Oreochromis niloticus: one gene and its partner. The main gene of each other region encodes a partner of the protein of the gene in region 2 in a complex. Links are inferred from orthologs where the notes say so. Each region holds a gene or a part of one and is shown on either strand. Other genes may lie near its edges.

The links.
Region 1: lsm11 (region 2) and lsm10 share a complex: the UniProt entries of both Homo sapiens proteins name them as parts of the heptameric ring U7 snRNP complex. The link is inferred for Oreochromis niloticus from reciprocal best matches to the Homo sapiens genes LSM11 and LSM10.

Annotation. Positions count from the first base shown.
Region 1 is NC_031985.2:13,743,085-13,751,288, reverse strand, and holds lsm10 (U7 snRNA-associated Sm-like protein LSm10), read right to left. Parts: upstream 3,415-8,204; 5' UTR 3,121-3,414; intron 1,898-3,120; 5' UTR 1,892-1,897; coding exon 1,469-1,891; 3' UTR 282-1,468; downstream 1-281. Other genes in the region: protein OSCP1a, read right to left, coding at 4,616-4,741, 4,990-5,050, 5,137-5,282, 7,530-7,584, 7,672-7,800. UniProt on the Homo sapiens protein: Appears to function in the U7 snRNP complex that is involved in histone 3'-end processing. Increases U7 snRNA levels but not histone 3'-end pre-mRNA processing activity, when overexpressed. Required for cell cycle progression from G1 to S phases.
Region 2 is NC_031966.2:29,730,971-29,739,520, reverse strand, and holds lsm11 (U7 snRNA-associated Sm-like protein LSm11), read right to left. Parts: upstream 3,373-8,550; 5' UTR 3,300-3,372; coding exon 2,846-3,299; intron 2,299-2,845; coding exon 2,159-2,298; intron 2,085-2,158; coding exon 2,001-2,084; intron 1,717-2,000; coding exon 1,378-1,716; 3' UTR 1,175-1,377; downstream 1-1,174. Other genes in the region: thg1l (putative tRNA(His) guanylyltransferase), read left to right, coding at 4,036-4,223, 4,311-4,487, 4,585-4,754, 4,837-4,925, 6,584-6,691. UniProt on the Homo sapiens protein: Component of the U7 snRNP complex that is involved in the histone 3'-end pre-mRNA processing. Increases U7 snRNA levels but not histone 3'-end pre-mRNA processing activity, when overexpressed. Required for cell cycle progression from G1 to S phases.

The DNA of each region.
Region 1 (8,204 bases), on a different chromosome or scaffold from region 2:
TTAAAATGTTAATGAAAAGAGAGACAAAAGAGATCTTTAATAATGCAATAGCACAAAAGTTATGACTGGATAGTTAATTAAGTTGCTGGCTGGAGGGAGTTATTAGAGAGTGACACATCAAAAGGCTCAGAATGACAGTGAGGAGGTTAATAAGTTGAGTCATTTTGTTGTGGGGAGCAAACCACAACTGTGGGAGAAGTTAACTAATGCTTAAATCCCGCTAAAGGGAAACCTACTTAAAAAAAAGAAGTAGGGGGCCAAAATAAACAAGCTGCAACCTCCGGCAGTGGAAAAATGGAGCCTCTAGTTGCTCCAAAAGCGAGTCAAATCTCATAACACCCCCATGTTTAAATTTCCTCCTTTATAACAACAGTGTGGAAGTGACCTTTGTTTTAGCTGATCTGTCTAGTGAGTTAAAAGCATGGCTGCTTGCATTGACAGGTGTGTCACAGGCAGCTGTATCTCACTGGTGTTATAATAGCTACATCCACCTTCTATATACAGTCTACGCTCAGAACCAGAGACAGGAAGATTGTTGTTAGGCTGCAGGAAAGTGTCACAATAAAGTGGGAACACACCAAAAAATGTAGGTGTCCAGATTCTGCAAATGAGGTGTAGAAAATACTATAAAAATTAGGAGAAATGTATGATATTCTGTATTTTTGCTATTTAGTACAAATATGAGGAGGTGCACCTTAAAAGGCACAAAAAGTGACTGCTTTATGGTATTCTCTATGCTTAAGAGAATAAGCATAGAGAATGCAGAAACAGTGCTCTTCACTGTTTCTAAGTCAGCAAAATATGAGAGAAGCTGTGGCGTCATTTAAGTTAAACCCTTTGTGCAAAAGAGGATCTATACCTTAGTTGTTATAATTATATTCAAAAAGATTTCACTTTATTTTCAGATGGATTTGATGTTTGTTTTTTTTGTTTTTTTTACCATTTTCATCATGTCTCATTTAAAAATCCCCCAAAATAGTTTGGTTGAGATAAAAAAAGACATAACAAAGAGCTTCTTTGAGTTGATTCAAGGAAAATGCATCAATTAATCCAAGAAATAATCCGCAATGTATTAAAAAGAATTGTTACAGTGTTTACGTAGGAAAAAAATCAGTCTGTGGAGTTTTATTTTTAAACATTTAAACAATTTACTGATATCAGCCTCCAAATACTCCAGCCTTTCGAGTTTGTGATCCTTACAAGAAATCAAACCCAGATTGTGGTCTTTCATCCCAGGTTCGAAGCAGTTCAGTTTTTATAGCACTAAAGACAGTTTCCAGTATTTTACAACGAAAAGGAGGACTGTAACTATGTCTTACTGTACCTGAGATCTCTCTCCCTGTTCTTCTCCCTGGAGTCACTTTGTGGGCCCTCAAGATGTAAACTACTGGTCTAGACTGGTGTTTGTCCTCTAATCTCTGAACCTTACACAAGCAGCGTCTTTTCCAAATTTAAAAAAAAAAAAAAGTCATTTTGTTTTCTTGGCAAACTCTTTCCTGCCTCCGCCTTCACTGCCGAAGTTGCGTACGCGGTGAATCTTGGCCAGCTGGCTCTCTATGGTCTTCATTATGTCCATATGGTCGGGGATGTGGACATAGCGGATGTTCCTGCCAGTGATGAATAGGTCCTGCAGCTGTGTGAGCTGACCCCGCCGGTCCCGGTACAACACGTCCTCTAGGCGTATGTTCATGAAGGCATCTACGTTGACCACGCGTCCACGGGCTGTGCTCTCGTTCCTCAGGTCCACTGTGGTCACCTCTCCCTGAAGGCCCTGCAGGAGGATCACCATGCTGTTCTCTGTGATTGTTCGCTCCCGAATAGAGTTCACCACCTCAACCGGCCCCACGGTGGATGGCTGAGACTCAGCCCCCTTGGACTCCATAGGATCCATAGACACCTGCAGAAAAGCAGAAGATTGATAACTTTGGATTAGAGTCTGTCATACAGTGTTGGTACCTGAGACTTGTTTCTGTGGTTTACTGATTCTGACCTTGAAGCAATAAAGCAAAAATGAGCAAAAACTTGCACACTTTGTGGACAGAATATTAGAATCCGAAAATGAGAAAACACAGGAACATGTCAAATAGAAAATGTCCTGCACAGCTTAAATGCGATTTATCTCATATGTCACAAACCAAACCTGGATTTAATAAAGGTCAGACGACTCAGAGGCTGTGGTCAAATTGTTAAAAAAAATTCCCTCCCTCCATCTTTTCTTAATCACTTCTCTGATTGAAAATAAGGTCAAGGAAGAAGAATTTCTAAGGACTTAGGAAAAGAGCAGCATGCCCAGACAATCTGACTGCATTGACGTTAGAGCCTCTTAGGCGGTTAATGGGGCTCTACTGAAACTGCAATGTAGGGACCACAAAAAGGCTGTCTTAGATACTTTCTTACTGCATTTTTTTTTAATGGAGCTCACAAAAAAACACATAAAAAGAATGAAGTGAGATTAAATGTTTCCAGTCTTATTTTCTTTATCTGCTGGAGAGATGATCCAATGTAACTCTGGAAACTGTTACAAGTTCTGAGGAAAAAACAAAATAATTTTATCCCTCTGTCACTTATTAAAAATCGGGATCAATACGAGCTAACCTGACGTAAAGACAATTAATGGTAATCCTAATTGTCAAAACAACTACTACTTCTCCTTTTTTTCAGCAGCTCACTATCACTGCTAACCTGCCTTCATCTAATCCTATCCCCGTCACCACCAACTATCAGCATGTCCTCCTTCACCACATGAATCCTTTGAGGTCTTCCACTTTTCCGCCTGCCTGGCAGCTCCATATTCAGCATCTTTTGTCCAATATAGCCACCATCCCTCCTCTGCACATATCCAACCCACGTCAGCCCCCTCCTGCCTCACTGTCACATCAGCTTCTCATTCAGACACACGTAGTCTGTTTTGCTTCTTGTGACTATCATACCTCTTTACCGCATTTTCTTTAATGGTCCAAAAACACTTTCATGTTTGGCTTTCAAATTAACCCCAGAATATGCACATTACAACCGAATACAAATGATAATACAGAAGATATAGTGTCATATAGTGCAGTGTAATCTTAACTTTAACTTAACCTACAGAAAACCTAAAAACACGTGTAACATGACGCTTACGTTTGTGTCTGCAGGCTTAAAGTTAGTCTTCTCTGTTAGCTTTTCTTTTTTAGCGTTTCCTTAGCTTTAGCAGCGACTAAATAAAGCTCCAAAATGCGTAAAACATGAGTGTAAATCAAAGCTTCTCCCTCCGCTGTTGTCTGTAACATTTACCTGAATTATTTAAACACAGTTTTTATGTGGAAACGAAACACCGGCCTGCAGAAACCTCTCAAAACATGTCAACAGGTTCGTTTTCCCACAAAAACCCGACGGAGGAGCAGCGACGTGATGACGTTTCACCATCGTCTTTGCGTCAACCGTTTAGAAAAAAAAACAAAAAAAAAACTTTATTCACAACTAGCTTTAATACAGTGTAATCCAGGACATAAATGAGGAACCCGACAACAGGTTTCCCTGCGTCATCACAGCAACATTATTTTTCACATATATGCTGGATTTTTTTTCAGCAAAGTATATATTAACAAATTTGCTCGCTGGAGTGTAAAATTTTATTAATTAAGCGAAAATTCTACTGACAGATTTAGAACATCATAAAATTCCCCATATAAACCCACACAAAACAAATACATTAAAAATGTTAATCTTAAATGTGTTTAAATTGGTGTTTTTGTTTGTTTTGTTTTTGGATAAATTCAAGTTATACATAAAATCTTCAAAACTACTTAAAGGAAAAATCATACGATATTCTAAACTGTTTTTCCCACCATTGCCATTGTATGCGTGTATGACTCTTTTATTTAATAGTACACCTTGCTGAAAGGATGATGCTCAATGATCTTATGCCAACATGAACGTTTATACTCACTGCTCTGTTCCCTTTTTGTAATTCACTGCACCTTATTGGATTCATACAGTACTAGTTGTCATATTTAAAATATAAGTATTAAAAAATAAATAAATAAAAAGCCGGATAAACAAAGAGCAAAGGCTCCGAATCAAAGAAACCTTCATGAGATTGTTCTTTTCTTACAAAGCCAAGACAACAGCACCCCCTACAGGTTGCTGCTGCAGAAACGAAATCGTCTCAATGAACATTTATTTTCATTATCCAAATAATAATTTATAGGTTATTTAAATTAGTACTTGTTCCTCTCAAAAATCACATAAATATGAGTCCAAGGTCGTGTCCAATTAGATGTCTTATTTAAAAATTTGATCAATCCTTTTCATTTAATTTCTTCCCAGCAACATTTGCAACTCATTTTGTTTTACAGCATGTAAACACGAGCCAGCCTAATCATTTCAATATAAATAAATACTTTTATTTAACATTAAATTGTTAAAAAGAAAATAAAACCTCAAACACAGCAGGTGTTACAGTTTAACATCCAAGTCAGTTCAGCTGCATTATAAACATAGAAAGCAGTTTCTGTCTATTGTGTCTGTGTTATAATGTTGAGTTCTTGCATCTGTTTCATTGAATACTCCATCTCCAGCTCACAGTGGAGATTAACCATCCGATCATCATACAACCACAGACTGAATAAATGAGTCAGAGGTCGTCCATCATGGCCAGGAGCTCTTCTCCCTTGTTGTTGCTGGGTTTTTCAGGTTTCTCTTCTTTTTCTTCTGCAAACTGTCCAGCGATGCGAGCCAACTCCAATGCCGCCTGCTCATCCTGAACCAAAAACTTGGATTAAGTTCATCACAGATGTTTTAAGAGAGACATGGCAGCCATAACAACAGTCCAGAGAGTAGCCAGACACTCACACTAACACACTTTTTTTGCCAGATTTTCTGTTTATATTGTTAGGTTTGTTCACGTGCTCAGCAGTTGCCTTTTTTTAAGTCAAACTAAACTGTTTTCTTGACTGTGGTTTAGTTTTAGTTCACTGAAATACCCCAGCACAGTCTGCATGATCGTACCTGCATTGCTTGAATATTTATCACTCCATACAAGGATTCCTCAGCACTAGCTGACGCTCCTCTGTGAAACAAGATAAAAAGGCCTTGATGAGGGAATTTATGTTAATGTAACAACAGGGAATGAAAATAGAAAAGAAGAACACCCACGCTTCCTCCTCCTCCTCGTCTGTGTTAAACAGGTTGATTCGAAAACCCGATTCATCTTTGGGCTTGTTCTCCGTCTTCATGCTGCCCATTAGACGAGCCAGCAGGTTCAGCTCCTCCTTCGCCAGCGGGTTGGGAGAGCCGTCTGTCTGCAGCACGATGGAGGTGCAGAGGCAGGTTATAACAGAGCTGTGAAAAAAGTATTTCCCCCCTTTCTGATCTTTTTTTATAATTACTATACTTATATGTTTCAGGTCATCAAACAAATTTTAATAATAGAGAAAGAGAACCAGACTAAATACAAGATGCAGTTTTTAAATTATATAATTTATTAATGGAAAAACATTCTCCAATGCTACCTGGCCCTCTGAAAATTCCCCCTAAACCCAATAACTGGTGGCACCTCTGTTGGCAGCAAGAACTACAATCAAGCGTTTGATTGAAAATGACTCTTTCACGTCCCTGTGGAGGAATTTTGGCCCAATCTTCCTCCTTACAGAGATGTTTTTAATTCAGCCGAACTGGAGGATTTTCAAGAAAGAACAGCCTGTTTAAGGTTCAGGGCAAGAAATGATAGCTGGAGAGTCTCCTTCAGGTTTTTTTTGTAGAAATCAGAATTCACGGTTCCACCAGTTTTGGCAAATCATCCAGCAAAGCTCCCTCAGACCATCACGCTACCACCACCATGTCTGACTGTTGGCATGATGTTCCTTTTAATAAAATGCTGTTAGTTTTACACCAGATGTAACGGCATGCAAACCTTAAAAAAATTTCAGCTTCTTTCTCATTATCAAGATGTTTTTGGCAAATGTGAGAAGAGCCTGCGTGTTCTTTTTGGTCAGCGTTTTTTTTTTTCTCTCATGGATGCCAGTTTGGTCCACTCTGAAACAAGCGAGCCCTGCAGTTCTTTAGATGTGGTTCTGGAGTCCTTTTGCAATTAATGCGCTCCTGGGAAGTTTCACAACTGTTCCAAGTTTTCTCTATTTGTGGATAATGGTTCAGGAAAGGAGCAAATACTTTTTCATGTATACTTGTATACAAGTATACATGCAAAACTGAAGAAGTTTTGCATGTATACAAGATGTATTTCTGCTTAAGGGGGCACATCTGAGCTCTTACTATCAGGGGAAGGATAAATGCGCTGGTGGTGCTGCATAGCTGAGTTTTATTACTTTGCATAAAATGCTCTATTACAACTTAGCAAGGTTTCAAACATTATTAATGTTAATATTGACTAATTAAACATTACGCTGTCTAACCAGCCGTTTAATGTTGACATGGTGATAGTATAAACAGACACAAACATTCACAGTTACTGAGAAACACTATTATTTATTATTTTTGACTTCATTAATCTGATTGCCATCTTCTCTTTGTACAACAGTAGCACTGAGGTGTGGTTTCCTGGCTCAGCTGAAGAAGACAGGAAACCACAGTAGTGTGGTTTGGGCACACCTGTCTTACACACCCAATTAAGCTCTTCTTTTATAGAAGGTGTGAGGCTGTAGACAGACACACAATGATGAGCCTACAGCAGTGAGACGTTTTGAACAGCGGGGCAAGTGAGGTGAGTTTAAGTGTATTTGCAAAAAGTGTGTCAATAAAGAACAGCATGTGCAAACCACAGGGAACGGGCCACTGCCATAACAGCATTTACCAGCATTTACTGTGCATCAATGTCCAGGCAAGCAGGAATTTCTGGAGCTAATATACAAAGCCAACACAGAAATACAAAACAAACTAAAGTTCCTTGAGTGGCCACTTGAGGCAAGCTGCAAAAATGAGTGAATCCCTGCAGACCTCCATTAAAAAATATCCAAATTTACAGCATTTAAATGCATGTTCACAGCCTGGTATAAAAAGTGATTTGGAGGCACATGGACAGTTTCCCACTCCATAACAAATGTATGTTGGGTTCCTTTGGTGTAAATAACATATAATAATATATTGATATATCACGTATACGTCTGTTTTTTGGGTTTATTGCTGCAGCTAGATAACCTTAGCTAACTTGGTGCCCCACCATCTGATCCAAAAATGGTCACTTCTGTCTCCAAAAAACACTAGGAAGCATCAGGTTAGCGGACAGTACTAGATACTAGTGGAAAAGTGTGTGTGTGAAAGTGGTGCAACCGCGCGGTGGATATTTTTCTCAGCACACTTTGAGCCCCTTGGCGCCACCTGAGCATCCTTTAAACACCACTATCAAAAGTAAATATCACCTTGTAGGAAAAAAACTCCACATGATATGATTTGCTATTATTGCTTAAACATCATTTCATGGTTTCACAACAGCAAGAGCTCAGGTGTAGTTCAGGAAAATATTAAGTTATATTTTATATATCACCAACCATAACTGTAAAATGAAATCCGTGACCTCCCTGACATGTTATTACCTTTACAGAGGGAGCCCTGGACGTGTGTGTCTCCTCTGGATGGTCCACAGTGTACCTTTAAGTCACGAAACACAGCAGTGTCACCCACAGGTTCATCAGTGTGTGTGTTCACCATCTAGTGTCCAGCAGCATATTTACATACATGTTCATGCCCAGTCTGATCACTCTGTTTCCATGCAGCTCGAAAGACCCCTCTCTGATGGAGCTGGTGTAACTCCCTCCAGAGGGGAACTCCCTTCGTCTCACTTCTCTGCCGCGACAGTCAAATATCCTTTGAAAACAGGAAACAGATGGCGACACTCTGGATTGTGGACACATTTTTTTAAGAAAATTGAAAGTTGGGATAGGTCAGCCTTTTGGCGGTGACTTCAGAGCTGCATCAGACCACCAGGCCACATCTAGTGCCGTTAATGAAGTGGCAGATGTGAAACCAGGCTCAGTGTATAAACATTGACAGTAGAAATTCATTCTGCTTATAATGTCTAAACTTGAATTAGAATCAAATATGTGATAAAGACACTGAGAATCTGACAAACAATGGCAGACTGTCTAAAGACATTAATAAAGTGTGTATTAGTTTGCATGAATGATGCATACAGCACATGCTTTTAATCAGCACTCATGTAAAAATATCACATTGTAGAAGTAAAGGGATACGTGGTACAGTGACAGGAG
Region 2 (8,550 bases):
CCATTATTGCTGATTAAGTAACTTTTCTTGTGAAACCAGTTGCGGTCCACGTAGGTCTTTAATTAATTGTACTTCTGTATTTTCTGATAAGTTGAGCTAATTCCAATTTACCCGCCGGGTCCTGCAAAGGTAGCCCTGGCTGAAAAAACGCTGATTATAGAACACAAGAGACTAAATCAAGAAAGCAACGAGCCAGCTGCAGCTCCTGAGCTCAACACATGCTTTGAACCTTTTGCACTTTCAGACTATCGGGACTTAAGGAATGCTACTAAATCCTTTTGGTGTTACAGTTAGGGAAGCACTGGATTCTTTTATTTGTCAAATTTATAGTCTCTCCCAGTGCAAGTGATGGCCTCATTACTCTGGTATAACACACGCAAGAGACAGATGTTGCAGTTGTTGCCACAATTAGACCACACAATCAGTACTGTGCCCTGCTCACACTGCATCAGGGATTGTTGGAACACACTTTTGTGACAAACACAGCTTGCATTAAACAATTGACCCCATTTTTTTCCTCTCTGGAGAGGCCTTTTAAATGGGCTACACTAATAATATTCTGATACATTATATGAAAAGTAACGTTATATACAGTAAATGAATAAAAGCTCACCTTACTCATAGAACATGCCCCACTTATGACATAAAATATATGGAAAGAGGGTCAGTCTCTAAACAAATTAAGAGAAGCTGAAATGCAGAAAGAAATCTGACGCAGACCCAGAAACATTGCAGCGACGGTCGTTCTGTGCCACTCATCATCCAAAACTAACCTCTGTCATTTAAAAAGGAAAAAAAAAAAGCAACATCTTTACAACTTCTAAGAGATGCAGTAAATCGTGCTTTTATGGGTAATGTGCCCATTAAAGAGTAAAAGCAATCTAAGACGTCAAGACAAATGACAGCTTTTGAGTGCCATCTGCAATCTCGAGCTTCACAAACTCAATTATTCATAATGCATTTATGAAGTCCGCTGAGACTGCACTGTCATTCCCATTCAAACTAGCGGGGAAATGCAACATAAAGGGACAAGCTCTTTGAGATGACAATGGCGTGTTCGATGGCTCTGGTGTGTTTATGGTGCCACCTGCTGGGAGACAGGCATTTCACTGGGTTTCCTTTACAGGGTGTCAAATAAACTAAACAGGCAAAAACAAAACACACACAAACACACTTTTCTGTAATTACAACTGGAACGCTTTTATTTATCAAAAGCAAAATCATTTCTCTGGTGGGCAGAGACAAACCTCCATATCAATATGATATAAATCATCAGTCTGCGATCCTTCTGAATTGCTATAATTTGTCAGTACCAGTTAGCGCAGATGCTCCAAAAAACCCCTGCTTTGTTGCCCGGGATCAATGTAAGAGTGAAAATCAGAGCGGCTGGGGGTTAACCAGGATGACATTCTCACCACGGATGAACAGCTGGTTGATGTGGCGCGTATGGACCTTACCATACGTCTTGGTTTCTTTCTTCTGGCGAGTCTGTGGACTCTGGACCATGAGCAGTGTTTTGTGTGCGTCCTTTTCGGTTTCAGCAGCTTCTGACAGCTTGGAGTCTGCTGTCCTGCCGTCTCCTCTCACACCAACGGCATGAGAACTTGCCAAAGAGACTCCAGAACTTTCTGGAGTCTCTTTGGGAGAATCTGCAGGCTGCTTCTTCACCGACTCAGCACATTCAGAGGTTTCCTGGAGACTTAGCTTCTCAAAAAGCTGGAAATACAAAGATTTGATCATTCTTAAGACTTTCATCAAACTGAACCACATAAAAGCGCTCCGAGTGCTGTGTAAGAGCTAAAGAGGGATAAATGTAAAAAGACCTTTACAATTTAAGCCAGCAATACTACTGTCAGCTCACTTGTAAGCATTTAATCAGCAAAGCACAGATAGCTTTTATTATGAAGTAGTCATTAGAAACTTCTAAATGTTTCTAGCTTTCCTTAGAAAATTGAAGGACAAAATTTTAGTCATATATAGAATGAAAACTCATCCATTACCCGTGTAGTGGTGAGGGCTTTCTCATGATAGAAAGCCTCTCCAAACAGAGGCTCTCTGTAAGTTTCATCCACATCCACCATCGCCTGTCAGCGAGAGATAACCAACGGTGAAGATACGAAATTTGCCTAGTTCAAGAATACAACATGAGATCACTGACCAGGTTCCAGAACTTGTCGAAGGCCACGACAAAGCCAGCGCACACTCCCCTCAGACCTTTGAAAGTCCTGACGTGAACTTTGACTCTTATCCTCTCCTCCACGCAGCGGTACAGCTCCCCCAGAGGACTGCCTTTACACACTGAAAACACAAGACAAGCAGGTCGCACAGCTGCTTCTGCGTATTATAATAAATGATACAGGGAATTCAGCTAAAACAGAGGTTTCTTTAAAGTAACAAGTAATGCTAAAATTATGAATAAAAATAATTTTAAAATGAATATACATATATATATATATATATATATATATATATATATATATATATATATATATATATATACATACACACACACACACATATGTATGTGTGTGTGTGTGTGTAATGTTGTAATGTGGTTTTCATTTTATTGGGGGCAAAGGGGTTAAGGGTATTCGTAAGCCACAGGTAGGAACCTAACAACCAATACTGAAGCCATTCTGCCTCTTTATTACTCCAGTAGTCCTATTTTACTGGGACATTTTATTTTATTTGTCAGTTTATTTGGAGTAGTCTGTCAGTTCGTAGTGTATTCTAATAAATACAAATGTCGTATTCTAGGCTCTCCTTTAAAGTTTAAAGCGGCTCAGTGAAACGGCCCAGGCGGGACTAGGTCTCCAACACATTACACGATGGGTGTTGAACCTACGGGGCATTCTCGTCAGGACATTTTTCACAGGTTTCTGCCTCCTCTTCCTCCGCGTCGTGCCGCTGCTGCTTTCTCCCTCCTCTGACTCAGACACCGGGTTGTTCACCATGAGTTTCTTCAGCCTCTCGATGCGCTCCAGGTCCACCACGCCTTTCATCGCCTTACGCTGCCTTTTCTCCACGTTCTCCGGTTTGGCTCTCCCGCGGCCGCCCTTCAGAAAGCTCTCGTACTCGGCCACGTTGTTGAAGCACTTGATGTTTGGGAAGGGAAGCTGCACTGCCGGTGAGTACAAGGCCAAGAGTGGATCAAACTTATCCGAGCAGACGTCCAGTTTAACTGCGCCACCGTCCTCAGCTTTACTATCAGCCTCCGGCGCTGAGGCCGGGCTGGAGCAGGGTGCTGACAACGTCTCCTTACTGTCTGAATTTACACTTCTTTTTTCCCTCTCCTCCATGTTCAAAACAACCGCAGAAGTGTATAAAGCGAGGAATTCTGGGTATTTTTTGTCGTGTTTAGCAACTGGACTACAAGTCCCATAACCTCGTATATGTACAGTATCTAGTTTAGTTTCTGTTTAGGCACAAGATGGCGCTAGAAAGCAAATTACTTTCGTAAAATCTTTAAAAATCTTTAAAAAATTATTCAGCACAGCATCCAAAAAAATTTGAAAATTGAAGCATTATTTTTAAGGTGGCTAGAAGAAACCGGAAATTATTTGCGTTTTATTTTAAGTCTACCGTAGCTCCGAAAATTTGTGTTCCGGGTGATTGTGGTTCCGCTACGACACAATTTCTGGGCGGACTGTATACAAACCAACGTGTTTGAATGTGCGGAAGAGAATTATTCTTATTATTTAGATATATTTAGTTTAGATATTAACTTATTCAATTCGAATATTGCTGTTGGTGCAATTTACCACGTAGCTATCGAAGGGCTTTCAAAAGGTTAGCTGTCTGTGTAGAAGGCTAACACCACACATGACATTCATTCGTAAATAGTAAGTAAAGTTCAATAAATAGAGAACTGACATACGTATAACACAGATCATTTTAATCATAACACTTAACATCATTTGAAGTTATTGAATTTAGTTTTGTATATCATAGTAATTGTTCTCCGTTTGACTGAATATTTTCCCACTGTTGACATATAATTTTCGCTCCTTGTGCTTTGTCTTCAGGAGCATCCCAATGCTAATTAGTACAGCGAGCAGATTTGGTGTTTGGTGCTGTGCTCTTACACCTTCGGTCCGTCTTTTCTCCAGATCCAGTAACATGGCCAAAAGTAAGTTTGAGTATGTGCGCAACTTCGAAGCAGATGACACCTGTCTGCGGAACTGCTACATTGTCGTGAGACTGGATGGTCGCAATTTTCACAAGTGAGTATTCTTCATTTGCGCTAAAACACCGGGAGCTTTTTGAATCCACATTGTTGTTTTGGCGTCTTCATGCATTATGTGTTTCAGGTTTGCAGAGCAGCACAAGTTTGCAAAGCCCAATGACGACAGGGCCTTGGGGCTGATGAGAAAGAGCGCACGCTCTGTCATGGAAGAACTGGAGGACATTGTCATTGCCTATGGCCAAAGTGATGAGTTCAGCTTTGTTTTCAAGCGATCTTCTACCTGGTTCAAAAGAAGAGCCAGGTGCTGATGTTTTACATAATGTTGATCAACAACATTTTCACACAGACCTCCTCTAGCATTTTGTCTGACTATATTTTGTCCCCTCTTTTCCTTACAGTAAGCTCATGACCCACGTCGCCTCCCAGTTCTCCTCCTCGTACGTGTTTTACTGGAAGGAGTTTTTTGAGAATCAGCCCCTCCTGTACCCTCCGGGATTTGACGGACGTGTGGTCCTATATCCAAGCAATCGTAACCTTAGAGACTACCTTAGCTGGAGGCAGGCAGACTGTAAGTGCAAATGATGCTCTGAATGGTAAATCACACATTTGGTGTGATGGAAATATGTCACTTGTGTTTCTGTTTTTTTCAGGTCACATCAATAATTTGTACAACACACTGTTTTGGATGTTAGTGCAACGAAAAGGACTCAGCACAACACAGGCAGAGGATCGCTTAAAGGTGAAACACAGTTGATTAATGTATGTTTGGGTGTAAACTGGCAGATGCAAGTGCTTATTAACAGATATAAGTGTTTGAAAAAGGTACCATATGTGGCAATGCCCACATATTTAAGGTTGTAAGCATGGATATGTTAAAGACTGTCACTTATACTCAAGGTCTTCCACACAGTATTCAAAGTGTACCATGTCCCAAATGAAGACACACTGGCTTCTACCTACCAATAGATTCCAGCAGCATGTTTTGTAGATCCATATCAGCTGATCATGTGTCAGAAAAAAACAACAGTGAATGCTCACAACTCTCAAAATGTTCCATATAAAGGATAATTGATTGCCATACTGAGTGATTTTTTTCTTTCTGGCTACAGATATGTTATGGTAGGTATAAAGCTTTTCAACTACTAGTCTCTGGACTTCTAAACAGCATCAGAAACAAGCTAGTGGTAGTGATGGCTGGTGCTGATATAGTTATGTAATATCTATTACTTGTAAATTAAAAGGTTAATTTAGGGTATTGAATATTGTCAATTAGCCACAGTAAGCAAATCTGCCCTTTTAACATTTTCCTATTTTTTCCTAGAAGGAAGGTGAGGTCACAAAACTATTAGGAAAAGGAAAACATTATTTCCCCACACACGATAGAAAACTGCCAACCAGAAACAAATAACTCACCAAACCACCACGAAGCTAGGAAACAGACGATGAGCCCCTAGTTGGCACAATATGAAAAAGGCATCCCCTTCCCCCGAGTCCCAAGTAGCCATAAGAACAAGTTTTCATTTATGTATTAGTGTTATATTTATTGAACAACAGATTTCCCAAAAATCAGAGTATAAAATGAGTGAGCCGAGACCAAAATAACAAACAAGTAGAGCTATCCATCAACACAAACTTAGATGACCTGGCAAAAAGTAATAAACCAAAATATGCTTACCTACCCGGACTGTGAAAATGAATAAATTGGTTGATTCGTTAGCTAAGAATGCCTTAATTGTAAAAATTCATCTATCAAATTTCAGTCTAAAAACAAAACACATTTTCTTCATTTAATAATATCACTTATATACTTAAACAACACTTGGCTTTAGGGGCCGATAAGGTTTCAAGGTACTATTTTTGATATTTTATCCAAGTAAACAAAGAGGTTATTTAAAAGATGTAAGCTTTCAGCTACGTCATTATGAACAATTTATTCCTGTGCATTAAAATAGTGTGTACAGGAACAGGTCTGTCACTAGCTATGACAGCTGCTACAGACTGACACAGCTGTCCTCTGGAAATCACCTCATTCTTGTGGGGGCTGTCTGGAACCAGCTGATGGGTTTTGGGTGGATGTTTAGGCAGCATGAGTTATTTATTTACACCTCATCCAACATTCATGGTTCATAATTCCTACGTAATAATAACAACAACAAATAATAACAAAAAATGACTGAGTGGTTTACTATTTATTTCTTGTTGATTTTCTTCTAGTTTTAATTCTGAAGTAAAAGGAACAGAGCCACTATATATAACCAGCGGTTTGGTGGGCGGTGGTGTTCCTGTCATGCTTTTGTTGTAGCTTTTTATAAAACTGTACTATCTAAAGACCATGTGAGGGATTGTGTATCTACACACCTAAGTTTGGATGTCTCACAGTATTTCTGCCTTTTTCAGGGAACATTGGCTGGGGATAAAAATGAGATCCTCTTCACAGAATTTGGTATCAACTACAACAATGAATCTGCCGTCCACAAGAAAGGTACCACCCTCATCTGGGAAAAGGTGAGGTGCTCAAGAAGGGTTTTAAATCTATCCCCCTATTCAGTGGGCTATCTACTAAACTCAAAGGATAGAAACAAAGAATTAATCCTATCACGCAAATATCAATACAGGCATTTGTATCAATACTATTAATATTTTGATCAGTCCGCCCACCGCCATTCATCGGGTTAGGTATGCCTCTCAGTGAAGTGCAGGGACACGCTGATCCACTCAGTGCGGTACATGTGCAGCCCTGGACATTCATGGCATGAGACCTGTTATTGCTTAATCTAATGTGCATGAACACCACGTGTCCCTGTAAGAAATTGGAGTCAGTCTGCATGGGGGTTCAGTACCTAGTTAATATGTCAGAGTTTGTTGTTGGAATTAACCAGATGAATTGCTCCACCTGCGGCAATGCACCAACAATTTTTTGTGTGAAAATAGTTAGGGCAAAACCTTTTAACAGTTTGAGGTGACGTCAGAACCTGTACATAGAAGTTTGTTGTAGTCTGGAAATTGAATCCAAGGTAAAAAAAAAAAAAAAAAAATCCTAAAAACCTGCATTCTTTAAAATAGCCAGCAGGATCAACTCTTGTGCTTGAATAAATCAATTCCCTTGTTTTGAGGTTTCTCATTCACATCATGTAGACATTGCTTAAGATTTGTCTGCCATATTGGACCAGTAGGGGAAAATGTGTATTCTTCTACTGGTTGGCAGTGGAGTACCTGGAGGTTGCTGGTTCTTCCTTGGTGAAATATTGCAAAGAAGATGCTGCACCCAAAAGCTCATAGTGATTGCTTTGGTTGCTAGCAGGTTTCCAAGGTTGCCTGCAGTTCTTCATGTTTGTCCACAAGCTTTTGCTAACTACTAGCGTAACAGTAATAACTTGAGAAAGTGTGACGCAAATTGGATAGGGGGAAGATTTGCCTTCAAAGTAAAAGTTGCAGCTTTTGAAACTTTGAAAGTCCTACCTTAACATAACACATTGTTTTATTTTTTTTTAAGTTATTCCCGAATTTGCAGTGAAATAGATGTTAAAGCAGGGTATGCATTTTAGAATGGCTGCCTTGTGATTGATATATTGCTATTGTATAGTGCAACATCAGTTTTCTTCTCAGTCACATCCACCCCTCGCTAGTCAGATCAGGATTTATAACACCAGTCAGAATGCCTCTCTCCCAAACTCAAAACAGTAGTTCACAAACCAGTGGGTCATGGGTGTGACCATATTTTATATAGTCTGTGGTTGCTTTTGCATGTTTAAGCACACTAACGGCTCACTTTTTCAAATGGTGTCTGTGTTTCTTCCTGTTAAAAGCAGTGAAGTCTGAGATTGAAACATTAAAATCACCACACTGCCTTTTTTCCCCTTTATTGGTAGTTCTGTTGTTGTGCATGAAAGAGAAATGTCAGAAGCTGCATACACTTTTTTATTGCACATGACCTCACATTGTGGATGGAGTGTAAGAGAAAAGAGTTCTGCCACTAACATCACAAGAAACCATTTTTAGAAATGTCTTTTTCATGTAATAGTAGAATTCCCTTGGTTTAATAGGACATTTATTTACACAGTTAGATGCTTATTGGTTGTGCCCCTGAAAGGGAAATTTAAACTCACACAAAAAAACAAAGAAAAGGACAGAAGAGATTTTCATAGGATCAAATGTATACATAAATAACAAAGTATAGCTCACTGTAATGTGTAGTGTGTCAGGCTGCTACTTGCTGTGGCACCGGATGTAGATCTGACACTAACTGCAGGAAATGCTGCTTACATAGAAATTTAAGTTAGGTTGCATCACTCTGCACCAGCTCCTCTGAGGTTTTTTTTTAAATGCACTCAAAACCAAATCTCACAAAATGATTTTACCAGGTT